3 linked regions of the Ovis aries genome follow. The main gene of each other region encodes a partner of the protein of the gene in region 3 in a complex. Links are inferred from orthologs where the notes say so. Each region holds a gene or a part of one and is shown on either strand. Other genes may lie near its edges.

Region 1 (8,183 bases), on a different chromosome or scaffold from region 3:
ATGTATTTATATTACTAACTTTAATAATTTTAAAGTTCTTTTTCTTTTTCTAATAAAATCAGCTGATGGAGAGAAAGAAGATCAGTTTAATGGAAGCCCTCCAAGACCACAGCCAAGGGGACCAAGAACTCCACCAGGACCCCCGCCCCCTGATGATGATGAAGATGATCCCATGCCGTTGCCAGGTAGAAATAATAATATTTTTTCCTCTCTTGATTAATGGTAATATAATAGTACTTTTTTATTAGAGGAAAAAAAATAGATGCTGGTAATCAAATCTTGATGAATGTCCCCCACCCCCATTCTGAGCAGTGTTTTCTTGTGGGTTTTTTTTTTTATTGTTATTGTTGTTGGCAAGTGAATTTGTTTAAAAGAGAAATCAGTTAATTTATTTGAAACTGAAGCAACATTGCTTTGAAAATAAAATGTTAATGTACTATAATGACAGTACAGAGAAGCACCAGTAAAAATAACCTGTATGTATTGGAAGAGATAAAAATCTGTAGTTACTTAATAGCTAAAAAAGAGGATTATTGTGTAAAAACATAAAATAGCATACTTTGTTAATTCACACTCTAGAAAATTGTGCAGTGTTTACTCTTAATATTTTTTTTCCCTCCCCCCTCCTTAATATTTTTTAAGAGCAAGTAATTCTACTACTTTTTTTTAAAGTGTGTTTATGAGCTAAATCATCCAAAATATTAAATAGTTACAATATCCAGTCCTTCTGCCTCTTATTATTTAAATAGTTAAAATAATCTGTGCCTTAAATATCAATTTTTCAGTGTCTGGTGACAAGGAAGAGGATGCTCCTCATAGAGAAGATTACTTTGAACCCATTTCTCCTGATCGGAATTCTGTTCCCCAGGAAAGTCAATATTCTGATGAAGGAGAGGTAGAAGAGGAACAGCAAGAAGAAGGAGAAGATGATGAAGATGATGTGGATGTAGAGGAAGAAGAGGATGAGGATGAAGATGATCGCCATACAGTAGATAGTATCCCTGAGGAGGAAGAGGAGGATGAAGAGGAAGAAGGTGAAGAAGATGAAGAAGGTGAAGGTGGGTGAATTAGCTAGGACTTCTTGCTTTTAAGTGCTGGAAACTAGCTTGATGTAGCTTTTAGCAATGCAGAAAAATTTATAGCTGACACAAGTGGCTTTCAAGAAACCCAAGAGTCAGCTGGGCCTTGAGACTTGACTAGACTTGAGGATTTCCATCTTTGCTTTGCTTTGTTTATCTGTTATTTAGTTAGAAAAATGAATTTAGGTGTTTTTTTTTTTTTTTAACTAACTATTATGTCTCTAGTTACCCCACATCTTTAATATCTTCTCTTTAACCAACCAATTTAAACTGCCTGTGTCTCAGATCCATTTCCAGTTTTCTGGGAGAGAGATTCTGTTTGCCTTGCTGTGGTATCAGCTTCCCCTTGATACCATTGGCTTTTCCCAGGGAAGCGAGGATATGCAGCAAATACATGGTGATTAGGGATTTGGTGATCTGTCTTCAGAGGAGTGGTGTTTTAAGCTGCCTAGAATCCCCAAAGATTTCTGTCACCTCAATATTTTGGCTGAATAATAATATCTAATTATTATTAGACATGCACAAGGAGAAAAAAATCTTAATTACAGAAGGACATAAGGCAGCCTGATGCAGTCTTTTAGTTCGGTCTTATTTTTCCTTTGAAAGCAAAAAGAGCTGTTCAAGCTAATTGACTCTTAATTTGTTGAGTAAATGGAGTGTAATGTTAAAGTATTTATGTAAAATGACAGATCATCTGCTTTGTTCTATAAGATATTAAAGAGGAGAGTCATTCTACATGAGAATGAGAACCATTTCAGTATTATAGGGGCCCTTTTACAAAATACAAGTAATTGAGTTATTGAGTGATAACTCTTTTAACTGACCCCATTTCTAGGATACCAATAAATCTAATAAATTTTAGATTTACTGCATTTGGTAGTAGTTAGATTTCAGGCAGGCTTTGTTAATCAGAGGACATTTTTAGAGAGGATAAGAGAATGAGGCTGGTTAATTTGATTCTTACCAAAAGACATCTGGGGGTTAGTCTCGAATCAAGTCTCTTTGCTGCTGCTGCTAAGTCACTTCAGTTGTGTCCGACTCTATGCGACCCCATAGACGGCAGCCCACCAGGCTCCCCCGTCCTCGTGTTTTAGGCCCTTTCTTTTCAAATATGAGTGTATTGCTGTGGCTAAGTTGTTTAGAGCTTAAGAATGTCCATAGAGGGCTGTTACTGGAGGAGTACCGTGGAAACATTTCCTTTTCTTTCTTAGGCTGTTGTTACTCATCTCTGTTTTACCACAGCCAGGTAACAGTTGTATTTAAAACTAACAGATTTTCTGTCTCTAGTCTTCTATTACTGAATAGAGGGAAAGCTGCACGTGTCATGATATGAAAACTCTGTTTTGGCAAAGATGGGTACTTTTATAAACATTTTCCATAAAAACATGATACAGAACTGGGAACTGGGTAACAGGTAAACACAGAGTAGTAGAAGTGAAGGAATATGAAATTCTAGAATGCTTTTCCTGACAATATTTGGTGTAACTTGGTAATTACAGTATTAAGTCTTAGTTAATTTAATAATTTTGGCCCATCAATTCATTTTTTCCATCTTAAAAATACTCTCTCACAAGGCAAGCTTAATTTCTTCCCTCCTGAGAGGTATTTTTGGTTCTTTTTTATTTTTTTGAGACATTTCTGATTTTAGTTCTATGAGGAAAAGATTTATAGCAGAGTTATTGTAAAGCTGAACAGATATAATAGAAGACTTTGCTTATGAAGTTTCTCTGTAATTGTTCTATTAGGAGTTATAAAATGTTAATAAGTGTTGATAAGATATTGAGGCAGAAGTTAATACTGTTGATAGGATCATTACTTTTCATATTTTTGCCATGTTACTAAATAATTTATTTTGAGTAACCAGATTGTTTTGTACTAAACAACAATGATGTAACAACTAAGTATTATTTAAACTGATTTTCAGGGGATGATGGTTATGAGCAGATTTCCAGTGATGAAGATGGAATTGCTGACTTGGAACGTGAAACATTCAAGTATCCAAACTTCGATGTCGAATACACTGCTGAAGACTTAGCTTCAGTCCCTCCTATGACATATGACCCATATGATAGGGAGCTGGTACCACTCTTACACTTCAGCTGTCCGTACAAGACTACCTTTGAAATCGAAATCAGTAGGATGAAGGATCAAGGTCCAGATAAAGAAAACTCAGGGGCAGTAGAAGCCTCAGTGAAGTTAACTGAACTGTTGGATTTGTATCAAGAAGATAGAGGTGCAAAATGGGTAACAGCTTTAGAAGAAATTCCAAGTTTAATAATAAAAGGACTAAGTTATTTGCAGTTGAAAAACACAAAACAAGATGCCCTTGGCCAGTTGATAGACTGGACCATGCAAGCTTTAAATTTACAAGTAGCCCTTCGCCAACCCATTGCCTTAAATGTCCGACAGCTCAAAGCTGGGACCAAATTAGTGTCCTCACTAGCAGAATGTGGGACCCAAGGAGTCACGGGACTGCTACAAGCAGGAGTGATCAGTGGCTTATTTGAGCTCCTGTTTGCTGATCATGTCTCATCTTCCCTTAAGTTAAATGCATTTAAAGCTTTGGACAGTGTCATTAGTATGACAGAAGGAATGGAAGCTTTTTTGAGAAGTAGGCAGAGTGAAAAAAGTGGCTATCAGAAACTTCTGGAGCTCATACTTTTAGATCAGACTGTGAGGGTTGTCACTGCTGGTTCAGCTATTCTTCAGAAATGCCATTTCTATGAAATTTTGTCAGAGATTAAAAGACTTGGTGACCATTTAGCAGAGAAGACGACTTCTGTTCCTAACCACAGCGAACCTGATCATGATACAGATGCTGGAGTTGAGAGAACAAACCCAGAATATGAAAACGAGGTAGAGGCTTCTATGGATATGGATCTTCTGGAATCCTCAAATATAAGTGAAGGAGAAATAGAAAAGCTGATTAACCTCTTAGAGGAAGTTTTTCATTTAATGGAAACTGCACCTCATACAATGATCCAGCCTCCTGTTAAGTCTTTCCCAACAATGGCACGTATTACTGGTCCACCAGAGAGGGATGATCCATACCCTGTTCTCTTTAGGTGAGACATTTTTGGCTTTGGAAAGTATATTTCACCAATTATTAGAGGCAGTTTCATGTGGTTGCCTTTTTTTTTAAGCTGCAAAGCTTTGTTTTACTGTTTTTATTTTATAATTTTATTTATTATTTACTTACATTTTGGCCATGCTGGGTCTTAGTTCCTGTGCTTTTCTCTAGTTGGGGACGAATGGAGGCTACTCTTCATTGCAGTGTGAGGGCTTTTCATTGCAGTGGATTCTCTTATTGCAGAGCACAAGCTCTAGGGCACATGAACTTCGGTAGTTGCAGTTTGTGGGTTTGGTAGTTGCAGTTCCTGGGCTCAGAAGCACAGGCTTAATAGTTGTGGTACACAGGCTTAGTTGCTGTGTGGCGTGTGGGATCTTCCTGGACCAGGGATTGAAGTGTCTCCTGCGTTGGCAGATGGATTCGTTACCACTGAGCCACCAAGGAAGCCCCTTGTTTGTTTGTTTTAAATTTGTCTATAGGTAATGTGTGTCTTGGTAAGGATGCCTTGATATTTCAGGATAGGTCATAGTGAGAAGTGTGTTACTGTATGTGAGCTATATTTTGTTAATACTTAAAAGTAGTAATAGCAACTTAAGTTAAAGATATAAGTAATAACCAACCATAGTGCTTATATTAGCATATCTGTGAGCAAGAATAAAGGAGAAATTACCAGGTTGCTTCTGGGAAGGTGAAGCAGAGGATGGCATAGGAAGGAGAGAGCTTTTCTGTGTAAGCTCTTTGTACCTTATGATTCTAAAACATTGTAAGTGAAGTTGGTACTTTACTAAGTTAATTTTGCAGTCCTTGTTAAGATATATTAAAGGTTCAGTTGTCACTTGTTTCTCCCTTCTAACCCTCTAGTTATCTATTGATACAGTTTTGCCGTTTTTAGGTACTCACAGATTTTTAAAATTTGCTTTAATTTTTGAGAGTTTCTTTTTTTTTTTTTTTTGGTATTTTGCCTCTAAATAATTTTTTAACAAATATAAAAATTGCAGTTTTATTATTTTATTCCTTATTTCAGTGATTTTTTTTGCCTGGCTTTGGAGCATAATGTATTAACAAAAAAATCAATACTCTCCATTCTAAAATCTGTACCTATCCATTCTTGTTTTTAGCTGAAACTCATATTTGCCTTAGCTTGAATTCATACAGGAGTTTAAGATGATAATTGCTAGAGCAAGGTCTAGTAGGAGATGAGGCCAAGAGTACAAGTGTAGCAGTTTCGCTTTGAACAAGAGAACGGAAATGTTTGAGTATACAAATACAGTTATCTTTGTAGTATGGAGACAGTAGAGGAGACAGGTGCTTCTCACTGGTCATGTTTTTGGTAAATTAAGACTTAAAGTAATGCCCTGAGGGTGACTGAGTATAAGAAAAGAGATGATGCTCCCAAATAGTTGTTGAGGGGAAACCAGTAATTAATGGCCTATAAAGTATTGTTGGTTTTTCTCCTCCCATAATTGGAGATCGTACATTTGGGTGTCAGATTTTAGGAGATAAAGGGTTTTGAATGCTGGGCTAAGGAATTTTTTTTTCTGTTTTTTTTTTTGGCTGTGCTGCTTGGTGCATGGGATTTTAGGTCCCTGATCAGGGGTTGAATCCAGGCCCCTGACAGTGAAAGCACTGAATCCTAACTGCTGGATGGCCAGGGAATTCCTGGGGATTTCGTTTTTAGAATGTGGAAGATCTTGAATATTTTAGAGTAGCAGATCTGATATGATCGAAGTAGTGTTCTAAGATTATATTATATTATAATATAATTATATTGAGAGTTTGTGGTGGAGCGTTACTTGGACTTGGCAATTGGACCTGATAAGAGAAAGTAAGAAGGAGCTAAAATGCTTTGAGGTTTCTAACTAGGGTAACTACTGGAACTGTGATTTTATGGACAGAAATTGATAAATTAGGAGGGAGAGTGAACTTTGAAAAGAGAAGTAATTACATTTTGGAAGGGTTAGTTTGAAGTGATGGCAAGGCTCTAATATCCCATGTTGGAGTCTTCAAGGTAACCCCCAGATTGACTAGCTGGATTCATAGGACTCAGTGTTGTAATCTCAATCAGGATTTATTACATCAAAAAGATATAAAACACAATCCCCAAAGGGAAGAGATACATGAGACAAAGCCTGGGAAAATGAGTCATAAGCTTCCAGAGTCCTTTCCTAGTTTAGGCACAAAGGATCCCCTTAAGTCCCCTGACAATAAATTGTGACATGTGTGAAATGTTGCATACTGAGAAAGTTCATTAGAATCTCAGCATCCAAGCTTCCTATTGGGGGATAGCCATGTAGGCACCCAGTGTCTTGCATGTCCCAGAATTTCAGACTGCCAGAGAGAAAGCAGGTATTCAGAATGAACCATATTATTTGCATAAAGTTTATTTGCAGTGAGTATTCTTATCAGTTGGTGGGTGGAAACTATCCCAAAATCCAAGTCCCTAGAGGCCAGCCAAGGACCAGCCTTTCTAAGAATAAGCATTCTGAGGCCTGCCATGTTAACTATTTTCTGAACATTCCATAAGGTGATTAAGGATGCTCTTAAGAGCATAGAAGTGTTTACCTTTGTGGTAAGCATTTACTGCAGGTGTTTTCCTCATGATATAGAAGCCTGAGTTTAAGCAGAAATATGATTGAAAAGGCAATTTTATGCTTTTTGATTACAACTATGTGACATTCTGGAAAAGGCAAAACTATGGAGACAGTAAAAAGATCAGTGATTGCCAGGAATTAGGAGCTAGTTAGGGGATGCATAGATGGACACAGAGTATTATTAAGACAATGAAAATACTCTGTATCAGTAGCAGTTGTGTCTATTAGGGGTTTTAGGTAAATTCATACCTTATCTACTAAAACTGTGTGTACTAAAAAATGGTTCTTGGACGTAATAAAAGAGTACTGTTATATTAAGTACTGAAGATTGATAATTTGACCTTTTTTTCTTCCTAGAAGTACCGGTTCAGATATACTACCTGTAGTAAATCTGAATATACCAAATGCTTTTTATAGTATATGCACTGTATTCTTCCTAGATGCATGGATTCAGATATACTGATATGCTATGAGTTGAGTAGGACCATAGTTAAAAAGGAAGGAGCCATTTCATAAGTGGCCTGGAAAGAAGGCCCAGAATTTAAAGTCAAGGTTGATTCTGGAAAGAGAAAATTTGTCAACAGTTACTAATTAAACATCTTTTGAATGCTAGGAAAAAGCCTTATAGAACTTTCACTTTCATTTGGTCCCGTGGAGAGAAGACTTGCTGTTCACATTATGTTTTTAAATAAAGCGGTATATTGCTGAGGATAAGGATTATTGCTATTAAAATTTTTAGCACTACCTGTCTAATGAAAACTGAGTAAATGAAATGTTTTGCGCTGACTTAACGTATATCTTGTTACTTCTTCTGCAGGTATCTTCACAGTCATCACTTCCTGGAGTTGGTTACTTTGCTCCTGTCAATTCCAGTGACAAGTGCGCATCCTGGTGTGCTGCAAGCCACGAAAGATGTTTTAAAGTTTCTTGCACAGTCACAAAAGGGTCTTCTTTTTTTTATGTCAGAATATGAAGCAACAAATTTGTTGATTCGAGCTCTTTGTCATCTTTATGATCAAGATGAAGAAGATGGTCTCCAGTCTGATGGTGTTATTGATGATGCGTTTGCCTTATGGCTACAGGACTCAACACAGACATTGCAGTGTATTACAGAACTGTTCAGCCATTTTCAGCATTGTACAGCCAGTGAAGAAACTGACCACTCAGATCTGTTGGGAACGCTGCACAACCTTTACTTGATTACTTTTAATCCTGTGGGAAGATCAGCTGTTGGCCATGTTTTCAGTCTTGAGAAAAATCTCCAAAGTCTTATTACACTAATGGAGTACTATTCCAAAGAAGCCTTAGGGTAATTTTATGCTTACTCCTTAAATTTCCTGTTTTATTGGAAAACTACATCACTAGTGGGGTAGATTCTTGAAAGAATGTATTGTTTTGAAAATAAAAACTATAATTTTTTGACATAGCCTATAACTTGTAAAT
Region 2 (8,183 bases), on a different chromosome or scaffold from region 3:
GAGCGATCACACCATTGTGGTTATCCAGGTCATTAAGACCTTTTTTGTACAGTTCTTCAGTGTATTCTTGCCACTTATATCTCTTCTGCTTCTGTAAGGTCCATACTGTTTCTGTCCTTTATTGTGCCCATCTTTGCATGAAATGTTCCTTTGGTGTCTCGGATTTTCTTGAAGAGATCTCTAGTCTTATTGTATTTTCCTCTATTTCTTTGCATTGAACACTGAGGAAGGCCTTCTTACTCCTTGTTCTTCTTTGGAACTCTGCATTCAGACGGGTATATCTTTCCTTTTCTCCTTTGCCTTTTGCTTCTTTTCTTTTCTTGGCTATTTGTAAGGCCTCCTCAAACAACCATTTTGCTTTGTTGCATTTCTTTTTCTTGGGGATGGTTTTAACCACTGCCTCCCTGTATAGTGTTAGGAACCTCCGTCCATAGTTCTATATGCTGTATCAGATCTGATCTCTTGAATGTATTTGTCACTTCCACTGTATAATCATAATGAACTTGATTTAGGTGAAACATGAATGCCCTAGTGGTTTTCCCTACTTTCTTCAATTTAAGTCTGAATTTTGCAATAAGGAGTTCATGATCTGAGCTACAGTCAGCTCCTGGTCTTGTTTTTGCTGACTGTGTAGAGCTTCTCCATCTTTGTCTGCAAAGAATATAATCAATCTGATTTCGGTGTTGACCATCTGGTGATGTCCATGTATAGAGTTGTCTCTTGTATTGTTGGAAGAGGGTGTTTGCTATGACCACCTTAATGTTTGCTTTACATTGGTACAACCTGTTCTGTGTCCCCTTTTCTCTCATTTCTTTTGGATTAAGAATTCTTATATTATTCAAGTGTTTCTTTTTTATTTTGTTAGATATTCTTTTATTGTTCCTTCACTGGTTTTCTTGGAAATTGCAGCATGTACCCTTGAATTATTAAATTTAAATTAAAGTAGCATATTGGGTTTTTTTTTAAAGGGTAGGAAGGCTATGGTTTAAACTTCATCGTTTCTTTAGTCTTTTAAAGGCAGTTTTTCTCTATATATACAGTCATGCCTGAGTTTTACACACATACTAGATATACAGCTACAGAATGAACTTTGAGTTGTTGAGACTTCTGCTGTACATATACATGAACATCTTGTTTAGAGGTTTAGTAGATGATTTTACTCTCTTATCAAAGTAAAATATTTTGGCAACAGAGCTTGTGGCAAGCAAATATTTCCTCTTCACTGGCTTAAAAGAAAGTAATATGACTAGATGCTCAGCTGGAGTTGTATGTTTTTCAGAAAGTGTAGATGTCCATAGGTATTGAATATTAAGATTATGGCTGTAGTGTTTGAGGAAATAAGGAACAGATTTTTATCTTCCATCATTAACCTTTGTACTCAAAAATAGTTTTTGAATCTGGGAACAATCTCCAGTGGGAACTGCTATTTAAAGGAAGTAGAAAACTGTAAAGAAAACAGCAAAGCTATTTGAACAATAAAAGGGAACATCAAACAGATGGTAATCTTTTTTAGTAATTGAAAAGTCAGTGTAACAACATTAAAGAAGATTTTCAAGAGGGAAAAAGATTCAACCTCACTACTTCCAAGAAGTATTATTTTTTTGCATAATACTTTCCAGTCCTCTTGTGCATACAAATTTTTACATAACTGTGTCATTCATCATTTTGTATTTTTCTCAATATTATGTCAAAATATATGTCAAAATTATTTCTACATTTAAGTAATTATAATGCTTTTAATGGCTTTATAGCATTATTTTAAGTTTTTTTTTTTTAATGTGAGTGGAAGAACCTAAGGAGTAGAGAGAGTAGATAATTATTAAGTATAGCTATAGATATAAACCTAAACAGCAACTGAAATAAAAATACAAATTTTGGTGCCAGTTTGTATTTATAATATTCTATAACTATAACATAATGGGAATTTTCTCCATTCATTTAGGTATGGCCACTCTACCCACTTTATATTATACATTATATCTCTGATACCCTTCTGTCTATATCTATACCAGTTGTACAAAGTCTTAGAGATTTAGATTTTATTTTTTGCTTGTAAACTACTATCTGATTCTTTATCTTTGCCCATTCTTGCACAGATTATTTTAGTATTAAGAAAGAATATCCACTTTGGAAAATTATGTAGTAGAAAGTTAACCATGTAAATAATAATAGGAGCAATTGAGAGAAGTCTGTTCAAGAGGCTATAATTTATTTGGGTCAAATCCTCAAATACATTTCTTCCTCAAGGAGATAGTCTAAGGTATATAACACATTCCAGAGGAATAGTCTTTATTATTGCTTTAAATGTTTAAAAATTGATATATGTATCATATTCACTGAAGCCGGGCTAATTTAAAGTTACTTGGTTCTTAGAAATTAAGGATTCAAAATTTTAATAGAACACTGTTGCAGTGAAGAATTTGTGAGTGGGAGGTAGTGTCCCTTGCAGTTTACTTTGTAAAGGTTTATGTCTTATTTATGGAGGGCAATATAGCATGAAGGAGACAATATTAACTATTTTTATTAAATCTTCGAATTTTTTCTTACCTCTTGCTTGTGTGTTGTGTTCCACAGCACCATATGTATAGTAGAAAATAAACCAAAAGCAAGTAAAAGTCTCATAGGTTCAATTGTCAGTGAGACCACATAGGTGTGCAGTGTATTCTTTCATCTCATTTTTATCAAGGTGTCTACTTGATGGGACATGAAAAGCATCATATGGTTTTATCTGTTATTTTTCTCCAGATAGTAACAGATTTTATCTGTGCACTGTTAGACGATTTAAATGATGAACACAGTTTTGTACAAAAAAAAGGCTACTACATTTTAGAATGTGACTGCAGTAAAATATTTTCCATTTTATCATGGACCTAATAGTCTAAGTCCCATCACTCCATGGGAAAGATGGAGAAACAGTGGAAACAGCGGCAGACTTTATTTTTGGGGGCTCCAAAATCACTGCAGATGATGGCTGCAGCCATGAAATTAAAAGACGTTTACTCCTTGGAAGAAAAGTTATGACCAACCCAGATAGCATATTCAAAAGCAGAGACATTACTTTGCCGATTAAGGTCCGTCTAGTCAAGGCTATGGTTTTCCAGTAGTCATGTATGGATGTGAGAGTTGGACTGTGAAGAAGGCTGAGCGCCGAAGAATTGATGCTTTTGAACTGTAGTGTTGGAGAAGACTCTTGAGAGTCCCTTGGACTGCAAGGAGATCCAACCAGTCCATTCTGAAGGAGATCAACCCTGGGATTTCTTTGGAAGGAATGATGCTAAAGCTGAAACTCCAGTACTTTGGCCACCTCATGTGAAGTGCTGACTCATTGGAAAAGACTCTGATGCTGGGAGAGATTGGGGGCGGGAGGAGAAGGGGATGACCAAGGATGAGATGGCTGGATGGCATCACTAACTCGATAGATGCAAGTCTAAGTGAACTCTGGAAGTTGGTGATGGACAGGGAGGCCTGGCGTGCTGTGATTCATGGGCTCACAAAGAGTTGGACACAACTGAGTGACTGAACTGAACTGAATAGTCTAAGATTATCTTGATAAGGCAGAAATTGTGTGAGATTAATTTTTCAGGTAAAGAACCTAATTCTTAGAGATTCCTCGACCTGCCCTAATGATCAGGAATTGCCACATGCAGGGAACCTCAAAGCACGTGGTCTCCATCAGGCATTTACAGTTAATTTGTAGTTCTTCCTGTTGCAGATACAATGTAATCAAACAGAAACCATCCTTATAAGGAAAATTATCTAGCAATGAAATTGACAAAACCTTTTTACCTGTAGAAATATAATATGTAATGGAAATTCAGAAAGATAATTCATTTCATTAAGCTACATGTTTAAAGTGGATGTTGAAGGATGGAATTTTCACCAGGTTGACAGGATAGAAAAAATTATAGGTACAAGGTGGAGATCAGTGTGCAAACAGTTAACTGTAGTGGTTCATTGTTTCAGCAGTGCGATTAGAAAGCTAGTTCAGACCTTATCATATAAGGCTTCCGATTCCATGTTACTGAATTCTGGCTTAGTGGAAAGCCCAGAAGGTTGTGCAGAGAAGGAATGTGGTTTCAGCTTTGCTTTAGGCTTTCCACTTTTAGAGGAGGAGAGGTTGGGAAAGCATTACCGTATACAAGTATGTCTGTTGTATGTGTAGGGGACAAAACTAGTAGAAAAACAAAAACTCTAAGGGTGGCAGCAGAAATGGAAAGATGGTAACAAGTAGAAGCAGCATGGTAGTAGGTTGAATTTCTAAGACCTGCCAGCTGGGTTAGCGTGGTTGGAAGAGAAGAAGCAAAAGTTAGTTCCAGGATGTTAATTAGAAAACTGGAACCATTTCTACAAGTAGGAAGGTAATACAAAATTTAATAAATTTTTACTAAGCCAGAACTCAGTGTAGTGTCTAATATTTTCTAAATCCTATTCTCACAGAAATATGGATGGAAATGACGATTATATTATAAAAGTTTTTAAAAGGAAAAAACAAAACAAATATATATATGAAATCAAAGACCATAGTTAAATGCCACATGTTCTATGTAAAATATCAATATTGGGTAAGTGATAGGGGCATCTTTGGAAATACACTGGAGATTTGAAATGGCTCCTAAAGATAAGTAAGAGAATTGGGGGGGAAGAAAAAGGTTAATGTTTTTTCCCTCCGTTTCAGGGTGGCTTACAGTTGGACCAACTCTTACAAATAGTAACTACAATGCAGAAACGTATGCATCCTACTTCAGTGCCCCGAATTCCTATTTGACTGGATGTACAGAGGAAATTGAGAGACTTCGACCAAAATCACCTCCTCCCAAATCTAAATCTGATCGGGGAGGTGGAGCTCCCAGAGGAGGCGGAAGAGGTGGCACTTCTGCTGGCCGTGGGCGAGAGAGAAATCGATCTAACTTCCGAGGAGAAAGAGGTGGCTTCAGGGGGGGCCGTGGAGGAGCACACAGAGGTGGCTTTCCACCTCGATAGTTTTTAGGTCACTGATCCTATTAATGCCCCTTCACCTTCTTTCCGATAGTTTGAATTTCACCCAGGAGATGTTTAGAACTCTGTTCCAGCTTGCACTTTGCTTTAGTTTCTCTAAGCTACAGGAATATTTTAATCAACCTCCCTTGCAGTTGTCACTGTCACGTTTTATTCAGGGTAAGTGAGTCATCCTGGCTTTCGTCCTGTGCATGTAACCTGAGTGGAACAACACAAATACCTTCGCTTTCAGAAACGGAATTTAGTCTAATTACAAAGGCTTTTGCTTTTTAGGAATAAAGTGAGCAGTGAAAAAGACCCAGTCTGAAGTATCATACGGGTGCTGACAGTAGTTGATCATGGGCATCCCACCATTGCTGTCACAGCAAATGGGAAGCTGTTTGCAGGCTTGATCGAGTGGAGTTGGGACAGATGGTAAACTTCTCTTAGGGTTTCAACATTTTCTCATTGAAACAATAAAAGAGACTTTTTTTCTTTCTTTTTGAAAAATCTTAAGTAAACTCGTGTAGTTTGATCACAGAAGAAATTAAGAGACTTGGAACAAAAGCCTCCTCCCAGGTTTAAATCTGATCAGGGAGGTGGAGCCACTGGGTGGGCAGAGAGGAGTAGAGCCCATAGACATACTTTTACAAAGAGGGGAAAAGTGCTCATTATAATCTCAGTTGTGCAGCTACCAATGACTGTTACTCATGCTTCCTAAGAAGCTGACGAGGACAAATAGCCAAGCAGCTAAGGACAATAAAACTTTGGTGTGATCTTGGATTGACTTTCAAAGCAGTTTCATATTCCTTAGCAAAATAAAAGAATAAAAGCAACAGATACACCTGGTTATCAGGTGCTTGGTTTAAACATTTTGGGGAATAAAGTACTTGGTGATGGGAAAATAACATGCATCTTTAAACTTGTTATGGAGAAAAGGTAAAACCAATTACAGAAAACCCTCAACTTAAGAAGAGAGCTTGGAAAAATGAACTGCAGTTGCCTTCTAAGGGACTGGTTTTCCAGATAAGTTGTATGAAATTTTATATGGTCATTTCTATACTGTCACTCATGTTTTGCATGAATCTGCTAAATGAAATAATACCATTATTGTTGATAAACATATTTTTTATCTTATGTATGATTTTTCTAATGAAACTTTAAACCTTTGAACTTCGAGAGTCTCTTTTCTGTGAGTGGAATTGTCATTACCAAATGAAAAAGGATTGACCTCAGATGAGACTATTCTCTTGGTCTGTGAGTAGTCCTTTATGTGTATTGGCTCATAAAATGAGGTTATGTTATATCCTTTAAAGACTCAGTTTGAAGATAGGGACTGAATTATAGGAATATGCTTGAGATCCTTAAAAGCGTGATGAATTTTACTTGCTCAACCTGTTAGACCTTTCTAGTACAGGTAGCATTTGACTAATGTTCTTCTTGATGTAGATATGATGTGGAACTGTTCGTTAGAATTTTTACTGAAATGGTGGTACATTTTCAGCTCCAGTAATTAATAGAGAGAACTCTATTTGTTAAAGGTGACCTGGGAATGAAGAAGATAGATACTCAGTTGCCCAGTGGGAGTCCTTAGACACACCAGCTAGGGAGTGATTCTGTCCTTTAAATAGGACTCTAGTCTGGTTCCTGCTCTGGGTCAGCTAGAACAGAGTTCGTGGTGGGGAATATCGTACCCAAATACTACTGAACCATATTAGACCAGGGAATTGTTGTGATGTCAGTCGCAGTGTAGAATGAGACAGCACAGTGCACGAGGCGTCGAGCTTTTTAGTGGGGAATCAAGTGTGGAGTCAGACTCCACAGGCTGCATATCCAGAGTTGGAGTGGGAATCAGGGCTGCACCAGAGTTGGAGTGGGAATCAGGGCTGCACCAGAGTTGGAGTGGGAATCAGGGCTGCACCAGAGTTGGAGTGGGAATCAGGGCTGCACCAGCTAATACTTTGGTAAGTAGAAGAGCTACCTCCTATAAGTCCTTAGCTCATAAAAACTACATACCTCTCTTATTTGTAAACCAAGTAATTGCTGTGCCACAGTTTCACTTTAAATTGATGGGATTGTAATGGTTGGATGCCTGGGACAGCACACTGTAACTGAGAATGATTCCTTTGCATGTCTCTTAAAATACTTTCTACCCATTTTAGTCGTTAACTTACAATGTTCTGATTACAGCACCTGATTTTTAAAACCTATACTTTTTTCATTCTGAACTTAAGAACGTAAGAGTTAGTCTATAGTTCTAGATTTTATTGATTTGGTATAATTTTTATCAACTTGACAAAATGATACCCCAGTTGGGATTCATTCTAAATGATAGTCTTTGATCGGAAAGTCTCTTTTTGAGTGCGCTGTTAAAAACATACGCTTTTGTGTATAAGAAAGGCTTTTCTTGGAACAGTCCTGTATAATCTTGGGGTCCATATAGGACATTAGCATTATCTTTGATGTTCAGTGATAGGGACTTAAGTATATGCTGTCAGTTTTTAAGCTATAAACCTGGGACTCCCCAGGAGGTTAGAACATTTATCTGGCAAATTGAGCCCATTGAAGACTCCCATTTCTGAAAAGTCACATTTGCTTCTGCTCTCAAGATGCCCAGTCAATTACTCATATGAACATTGTTAGGTATAATGCACAGACAAAATACTACCTCATTTAATCTAGATGTTCTTTTTCTGTAAACCCTTTTTCTAGAATTTGACAAAATATTAAAATGATCAGTTTGAGTCTGTGTTATAGTTCTTCTGTAACTAGAGGGGCTGATGAACAATGAAATCAAATAAGGTAGGTTTTTTCCAAAAATGCTTCTAAAAAATTAAATTTGAAGTCAGTGATATAAAGTGCATATAGGAATTAGGTATAGTTTTTTAAAAAAAAAAAAAGGAATTAGGTATATAATGTGAATCAGTGAAGCAAGCCATGAGTTCATTTTATAGTGGAATGATGACTGCAGCCATGAAATTAAAAGATGCTTGCTCCTTAGAAGGAAAGCTATGACCAACCTGGACAGTATGTTAAAAAGCAGAGACATTACTTTGGTTTTTCCAGTAGTCATGTATGGATGTGAGAGTTGGACTATAAAGAAAGCTGAGTGCGGAAGAATTAATGCTTTTGAACTGTGGTGTTGGAGAAAACTCTTGAGAGTCTCTTGGACTGCAAGGAGATCAACCATGCCATCCTAAAGATCAGTC
Region 3 (8,133 bases):
TTTGGCGCTAATACCAGTTACAATGTAATACCACTTTTATAGATGATTGGAATAAATGACAATCATTATCTTTTGTGTAATAATCATGATGATGATTATTAGTAGTTTTATACCAGAAATAGTCTGGTGGGTTAATATGAGCTCTTGAATAGGAGGGAAGAGATCAGAGATCCCTTCCTAGCTCGGCCTCTCTGTGTTGTTATGGTCTCCAGTACTGCAGTATTCTCAGGCATGAGAATTGGACTACATGGGTCCTGGGATCATTTCTAGCAGCTGTTTAGTAAGACTTGATTATGCTGTTCTTAGAGGAGCTTTGAAAGGTGTCAGTGAACAGGTCTATTTTGTCCATGTACAAAATAGAAATACAGGTCTGTGTACCTGTATTTCCAAAATGAAATTTGAGATGTAAAAAGTTAATAGGTAACATTTTGTTTCCTCAGAAGGATTTGATTATAATGAAGAAGAACGGTATGACTGTAAAGGGGGTGAACTGTTTGGAAATCAACGAAGATTTCCTGGACACCTTTTTTGGGACTTTCAGGTATAAGTAAAAATAAAAAAAATTTATTAGAACAGTAAAATATTTTAAATGCTTTATTAGGACAATTTAGATTGCATAAAGAATAGTATGAACTTTTATTATAATTATATCTTTCATTACCCATAAATCGTTTGTTAATGCCATATTTCTGAAAATAATCTGAAGTAATTTTCAGTGATGTCAAGTAAAATCAATAAGTAATAACACTGTCAAAGGGGGAAAAAACCCAAAACTGATGGTTGCCCAAATAATGTGGCATATGTGGTATTATACCAAAAGATCTTCATTTCTAATTGTTTTAGTAACTTTTTTTTTGTTTTGTTTTAGTAACTTTTATACTAACTAATTCATTGTGTAATTTATAGACATAATTTTTAGAAATGCTTAAGGAAATTTTAATTATATCATTTCAACAGATAAATATCTTAGGTGAAAAGGATGATACTCCAGTTCATTTCTGTGACAAATGTGGATTACCTATTAAAATTTATGGGCGAATGGTAAGTATAACTAAGTTAAATTCTGTTTTTATAAATTTATATATTTGTGTAGAGATGAGGACTCTGAAATTTAAGTAGATAGATTTATTATTGTTTAACAATAAAGTTTATAATGAATAAGTATAAAATAGCTAAGGAAAGTTTGGGGATAATATGCATTTAATAAAATTATCTTGACAGATTCTTGGATTGCTTGTAAAATATTAATTAAGGAAACGAATTCTGAAACTAATTTCTTTGAATGGTTTGATCCTTAAGGAAAAAAATTTTTTCTTTAACAGAATCAGTTATTTCTAAAGGCTAGAATTTTTAATATAAAATGGAATTAAATATTATTTATGATTTCTGGGTATTCTAAGCACTTAAAGTACTGTAATTTTATAGTAATCTTCATATATGAAAAGATAGTTTTACATTTTTGTTGGAAAAAAATTGAATTTACTGTTAAATCTGTGGTGGTAGAAGCCGTGGATTCTGCACTGTTGCTTTGCTGTGTGGCATAACTAAGTAACAGTAATGAATTGTGAGTTTTAAAATAGTGTAACATTATTTTACTGTGTCCTTCTGATTTATTTTAAATATTTGTAAGTTCATTAACTTAAGACTACCAGGGAAGAAGGCTGCTTATATTAAATGTAGAGGATACGTATTCTTTCACTGCCATGAAATACTTTGTGGAGATAATAGGATTAGGTGAAACGTTGTACAGTATTCTTCAGGAGCTTTTAACCTGTAGGAACCATGAATGTGCATGTATATGTTTTTTGGGGAAGGGCCAAAGTTTTCATTGCATTCTCACAAAGAGCTTTGTGACTGAAGAAGGTTAACTGTTGCTTTTATGTAACTAGTACTTAATATATGTTCATTTTAACCAACAGTTCTCAAGTACCTTCCATGTCTAGGTCACTGCGCTCACTGTTGCTTTTTATTGAAATATTTTAATTTGCTCTAGAATATTAACTGTAACATGTCTCTGTTTGCAGATTCCATGCAAGCATGTGTTTTGCTATGACTGTGCTATTTTACATGAAAAAAAGGGAGATAAGATGTGTCCGGGGTAAGATCATCATTAAATTTTTAAATAATAAGGATTGTGATATAATGATTTATGATCTAGGTTAAAGGTGAGGATATGATATAGACCGTTGGCAAGATGTCAAGTGTGTAGACCTGGCAAATGTTTCTCTGTGAACCTAGAGTTGGCTATAACCTTCTCCTTAGGATAGGGCTAATTAGCTATTATCAGTTAATTCACATTGGCCAAAATAACAATAATAAATACATCACAAAGTTAGCATTATAAACCAAAAATACTTTCTTATTTTAATGGGATGCTAGACAGGTAGTATCATGTAGTGATTTCGAGCAAAGACTCTGGAATTAGAATTATTGGATTCAAATCTTTATTTTGTGATTTATTTTGTCACATACATGATTTCTTTATCTGTAAAATGGAGCTAATAATAGTACTTACCTCCCTGGGTTATTATTAGAAGTAAATGAGTAGCAGATAGCAAGTACTATGTAAGTATAATCTCTTTATTTATTGACTTCAAATCTGATTATGTCTTGAGTACATCTTACAACACCTTCATGTTCTAAGACAGGCTCAGACAAATTAAGACCATAGGGAGGTGTTGATCGATAGTGATCTTTTTGGGAATAGTAAGGATCCAGAATAAACTATGAATTTTTATATCAATTCAGAACCCCTGATAGAAGACTTAAGAAAAACCTTGAGAGAAACTTCTTTGGGAACAACTGTAGGCTTTCTAGGTCACTTATAACCTAAGTTAGAACCTATCCCAAGGGTTGTAATATTAGTTGATAATAAAATTGTGGACAGTTGTAAGGGATAGTTTTCTTTTATGGTGTAGGAAGATTAGCATCTGTGGGAGAGAATGAAGATTCATTAACAAACCAGTAAGAAGTAATTCTCTTAGCATATTTTATTAGCCCTTTAAAGTCATATATTATAAATTTTATAGTGTGAGTTTAAAGAATATTTTCTCAATAGAATTATAATTCAAAAGAATTAGGAAATTGATAGTGCATATTCACTATTTGCCTCAGTTTCTGTAGTGCCTGATTTTCCAACACAGTGTACATCCGCTTAAATTCTATAGTAAATTTGATTGCCTCATTGAGATAAGGGATTTTGGATGTTGTAAAACACCATGTAGAGGACATCAGAAGGTTTTCTCTTTTATGTAAGTGTTTTGATGTTAATATTTAAAAGGGAATTTAGTTTTCAAGTTTTTCAGTGTAACTTCAGTAAGCATATCACTGGTTGGCTTGTTAGGGATATTAAAACAAAAGCTTATCTGGATTAACAGACCTGGGTCAGAAAGTGAAGAAATGACAACCCTAATTAATGTAAATATTATATACTAATGCTTAAGCCTCACCCAAAGAAATACACCCCACCTCCCAATCCTGTTACTGTGGAGCTATTTCAGAGTTTATAGCAAATTAGAAGCAAAAAATGAGAAGTGTGCCAAATGGCCACTAAAGGGAAGCCTCCTAAGTATGAAGAAGTAGTACCAGCCTACAGTGAGGAAGAAACACCAGCCACCACTCCAAATCAAGAATATGGAGCCATTTGATACAGGTCATATGACCGGATCCACATATTCAATGATGATAGCTTATACGTGTTTAGTGCTTAACTAATCATTAAGTCCTGTCATTTTCACTGTTTCATTGATGTTTCAAATGTTCTTTTAAGTAGGGTGAAGTCTATATAAAAGCATTATGAGTTAGATTAGATGTTATAACCCATTTTACAGATAAAGAAACAAAGTTTAAATGACTTCTCCAAGATCTCAGCCAATACTAGGTCCCAGTTCCAATTCCTAGTTCAGTCTTCTTTCTGTTGTTTCAAGAAGCCTTCTAAAGGCAAAAGTGGATTAAAAAACAGCAGATGAAGAATAGTTACAATTTGACCCTGACTTATTAAGAAAATAATTGAGTTAAATTTAGTGTTTATAATTTAGAAAAGTAGGAGTGTGTAATACTTTGTAGTAGTAGATTTGTCTGACAATTCAGGAAGACTCCCTCCTTGAAAGGACTCTTGGCATTCATGGTTTGAATTTGAAATATTGTTTAATATTAAGAACCTTGATCGTTAGGATGATCCTGTTTATTTTTGTAGTTCTTACAACACCTTTCACTTAGTATCTTCTACGTAGTATTATTTGCTCATAAAATTGCTTACTGGTCAATAAATACTCTACAGGTTTGCATTTTGTGATTCTGACAAGATCCTTTGGTTTGCCCTTCCTGGAGTTTTGGGGTTTTTTGCACACGGATTCAAAACATAGAATTGTTTGTGAAATCAGATAAATTCTAAATCTTGGTAAGAAAAGGGTTTTGCTTCAAACCTACTCTGTTTGATAAACACTTTAAATTTTTTTCTTAAGAATTTTGATGTTGACAGAAATGCTGATGCTTAATAGCAAACAAACCACAAAGTGGAAAAGATTAAAAGTTCACTTACATAAACTATAACTTTTAATTGTGAACTTTTTGCAATGTTTTCCATAATAAAATTTAAAACTAGTCATATCTTTGAAATTTAGTGCATTATTTTTATAGTCTGTTTTTAGTAAATCAAACTTTTTTCCCCTTCTGATTTAGCTGTAGTGATCCTGTGCAGCGAATTGAGCAGTGTACACGAGGTTCTCTCTTCATGTGTAGCATTGTTCAAGGGTGCAAGAGAACATACTTGTCTCAGAGAGACTTACAGGCTCATATCAACCACCGCCATATGAGAGCTGGAAAACCTGTTACCCGGGCTTCACTTGAAAATGTTCATCCTCCTCCTATTGCCCCACCACCAGCTGAAATCCCCGATCGTTTTATCATGCCGCCAGACAAGCACCATATGAGCCATATTCCGCCAAAGCAGCACATCATGATGCCACCACCTCCTTTGCAACATGTGCCCCACGAGCACTATAATCAGCCACACGAGGATATCCGTGCTCCTCCAGCTGAATTGTCCATGGCTCCTCCTCCACCTCGCTCAGTCAGTCAGGAAACCTTTCGTATTTCAACAAGAAAACACAGCAATTTAATAACTGTCCCTATTCAGGATGACTCAAATCCAGGTGCTAGAGAACCACCACCTCCTGCCCCCGCACCTGCTCACCATCATCCTGAATATCAGGGTCAACCAGTGGTCTCGCACCCTCATCATATTATGCCTCCACAGCAACATTATGCACCACCCCCACCTCCTCCACCACCAATAAGCCATCCAATGCCACATCCTCCCCAGGCCGCAGGTACTCCTCACTTGGTGTACAGCCAAGCTCCACCTCCACCAATGACCTCTGCTCCACCACCAATTACCCCTCCCCCTGGACATATTATTGCCCAGATGCCACCTTATATGAATCATCCTCCTCCAGGACCTCCCCCACCTCAACATGGTGGTCCACCTGTAACTGCACCCCCTCCTCACCATTACAATCCCAACTCTTTACCCCAGTTCACTGAAGATCAAGGAACTCTGAGCCCTCCATTTACACAACCAGGGGGAATGAGTCCTGGTATATGGCCTGCACCGAGAGGGCCACCTCCTCCTCCACGAATGCAGGGTCCGCCTTCTCAAACCCCACTACCTGGACCACATCATCCAGATCAGACAAGATATAGACCGTATTACCAATGATAATAGTATTCTGAACTGATGATATGATGAGGAAACAAAACTTATATGTATAGTCAATCTTTTCTTTAAGCTTTGACTGTTCGGGGAAGGAAAAGCGCCTCTTGCTGAGGTGGCTGTACAACACTTAGGGTCTTGTCTCTTAAAATGGTTTTAAATCTTGACCTTAGGATTGATTTCAAGTACTATACTGTAGTGCAGTTAAGTGGCTCAGTTGAGCACAGCTATATTTTAAGAACTTTGTTCCCCTAGTGTGGTAAATTGACCCAGAGGTGACCATTTGTAAAAAAAAAAAAAAAAAAAAAAAATTGAAAACATTTTTCCATTGTTCCACTTTCAAAAGTACGTCTTTTGTTAAACCCAATGTTTAAGTTTTTCTTGTGATACATTTTGTTAACCTGTGTAAAAGGATTAAACTTCAATATGGTTGTAAAAATACTATTTTTATGTGAACTTAAGTGCAGCCACATACTGTTTTTTAAACCATATGTTTTACCACTAATTTCCCAAAGTTACAATAAAATCCTAAAAGTAAAAATCTAATAGAATTTACTGTAAGGCAGACTGTTAAATGGTAGAAAATTATTTCACATTTTAGGCACTGAAATTTTGAGGTATATTAGGTATATAATGCACTTCACTTGGATGCCTTTTCATTTATAGGCAGCCTCAGGAGCACCAAAATACATTGAAATTCCAGTACTAAGAATATTTATGTCTGTAATGTTAAGAGGCATTGCTTGTATTTTTGGAAAGATAGGGCCAAAGTAATCAACTCTGTAGGCTCCAAGCTGTTGGGGATGCTGTTACTCATTAATGCTTTTTACCGAATGGTTGGAGTCATATGCATCACACTTATTAACCTTAAGTAACATTTTATAGAACTGTATAAGTGGTATTCTTTAGATGAAGTGTGTTCCTCTCTGCTCATTGTCTGAAACTAAATATTTTGGGCTGAATAGGCTTTATGTAATTCCTCATTTCATGGTAGAATTTGATCCTGTGCTTAAGTGGATTCTTGTTTATTGGGTTTTAAAGTATAATTTGAATGCCATGGAGGAATTTGAATACTGTATTAATGAAGGATGTTCTTGTAATCACATACTTGCGTTGCTCAGGTTTCATTACTGTATGATAAGGTGTTTTTCTCTAACTTAACATTTAAAAACTATTACTGACTTCCTGTTTCTTTCATTGGTTAAGCAGTCTAAAACTTGGAACATTTTTTTAGCATAGAGTCAACAGTGAAGACTACCAGATGATTTTCTATTGAAGAGAAAAGTAATGTCTAAATTGTGAATTTCAATGCATTATAAGGTGCCTTCGGAGTCAGCTTTTGCATTCTAGGGGCTTGTTACAGTCCAGCTAAGATGACCACTTACAGTTTATACAGAATTCATATGTATAAATCAACATTCTTAGGATATTACTATATGTCCTTTGAATACACCCCTGTGAAGTACTTCCTCCCCCCTAAAATGGTGCATAACATAAACATGAAATGTGTAGTATACAGATACCATTTATTATTAAATAGTTTGTAGTGTATAAATTTAGAACATTTCTTTTTGACAAGAGGTGAACTGATGGCTAATTTACCATTTAATTCTGTCAGGAACAGGCAAAGCAGTTTCTCACTTTGGATAATCTGATGCAAAGTCATCTATAAATTTAGAGCTGAAATAATATAAATGGCCCTTTCAACCATGACCAGCTGAAAATAATACACTTTTTCTTTAAGTGAAAGTACGTGATTTTTCACACCTAGCAATTTGAGAGTTCAGTGTTAATGCGGTGTTTCTAATGAGAAATTGTTATTAGAAGCATAGGAGTGAAATAGTGTGAAATGGTGGTGAGTGTGTCTATCATATTACTGTAGGTACTTGGACTGGTGCAGACTTGATTACCTTTAATGGCCCTCTTTGGAGCTGTTAAAATATTATTGAAAATTCAGTACCAATAATTTGGTTTCATGTAATAGGAAATAACAAAACTCACTTTAAAGCTTCTCAGCTGTTTATGAAGAGCTCACCTGATTTAATTGAAATTCACTAGAATTGAATGTATTGAACAAACAAATGTTATCACGGTAAAATTCCACGTTAAGTCTCGTAGGCTTTAAAATTTTTTGGTTAGGTTAAAGAAATATGTGTTATGCAGGGAGGCAGTTCAGATAAATGTTGTAGCAGGCAGGTTTTTTTTTTTTTTTTTAAATGGTGTTAGACTTGAATTCATCTAGTTATTGTTTGAATGAGGGTGGGTGGGTAGAAGGATAACAAAATTACTGTTAGTGTTTCTTTCCTTAAGGAAAAAGATGTGAATCCCAGCCTTATTTCAGGGAAGCCTTTGAAGCTATGATGGACGTAAGTCTAAATTAAATGTATGTATGTTTCATTATATTGCTCTTAAAAGACTAC

Evidence for each region.
Region 1: CBLL1 (region 3) and VIRMA share a complex: the UniProt entries of both Homo sapiens proteins name them as parts of the WMM complex. The link is inferred for Ovis aries from reciprocal best matches to the Homo sapiens genes CBLL1 and VIRMA.
Region 2: CBLL1 (region 3) and METTL14 share a complex: the UniProt entries of both Homo sapiens proteins name them as parts of the WMM complex. The link is inferred for Ovis aries from reciprocal best matches to the Homo sapiens genes CBLL1 and METTL14.

Annotation. Positions count from the first base shown.
Region 1 is NC_056062.1:82,720,216-82,728,398, forward strand, and holds part of VIRMA (protein virilizer homolog), read left to right. Parts: intron 1-62; coding exon 63-185; intron 186-785; coding exon 786-1,058; intron 1,059-3,003; coding exon 3,004-4,144; intron 4,145-7,557; coding exon 7,558-8,049; intron 8,050-8,183. UniProt on the Homo sapiens protein: Associated component of the WMM complex, a complex that mediates N6-methyladenosine (m6A) methylation of RNAs, a modification that plays a role in the efficiency of mRNA splicing and RNA processing.
Region 2 is NC_056059.1:7,018,129-7,026,311, reverse strand, and holds the end of METTL14 (N6-adenosine-methyltransferase non-catalytic subunit), read left to right. Parts: intron 1-4,675; coding exon 4,676-4,980; 3' UTR 4,981-6,147; downstream 6,148-8,183. UniProt on the Homo sapiens protein: The METTL3-METTL14 heterodimer forms a N6-methyltransferase complex that methylates adenosine residues at the N(6) position of some mRNAs and regulates the circadian clock, differentiation of embryonic stem cells and cortical neurogenesis.
Region 3 is NC_056057.1:50,282,112-50,290,244, forward strand, and holds part of CBLL1 (E3 ubiquitin-protein ligase Hakai), read left to right. Parts: intron 1-440; coding exon 441-541; intron 542-957; coding exon 958-1,041; intron 1,042-2,024; coding exon 2,025-2,098; intron 2,099-4,680; coding exon 4,681-5,719; 3' UTR 5,720-8,133. UniProt on the Homo sapiens protein: E3 ubiquitin-protein ligase that mediates ubiquitination of several tyrosine-phosphorylated Src substrates, including CDH1, CTTN and DOK1. Targets CDH1 for endocytosis and degradation.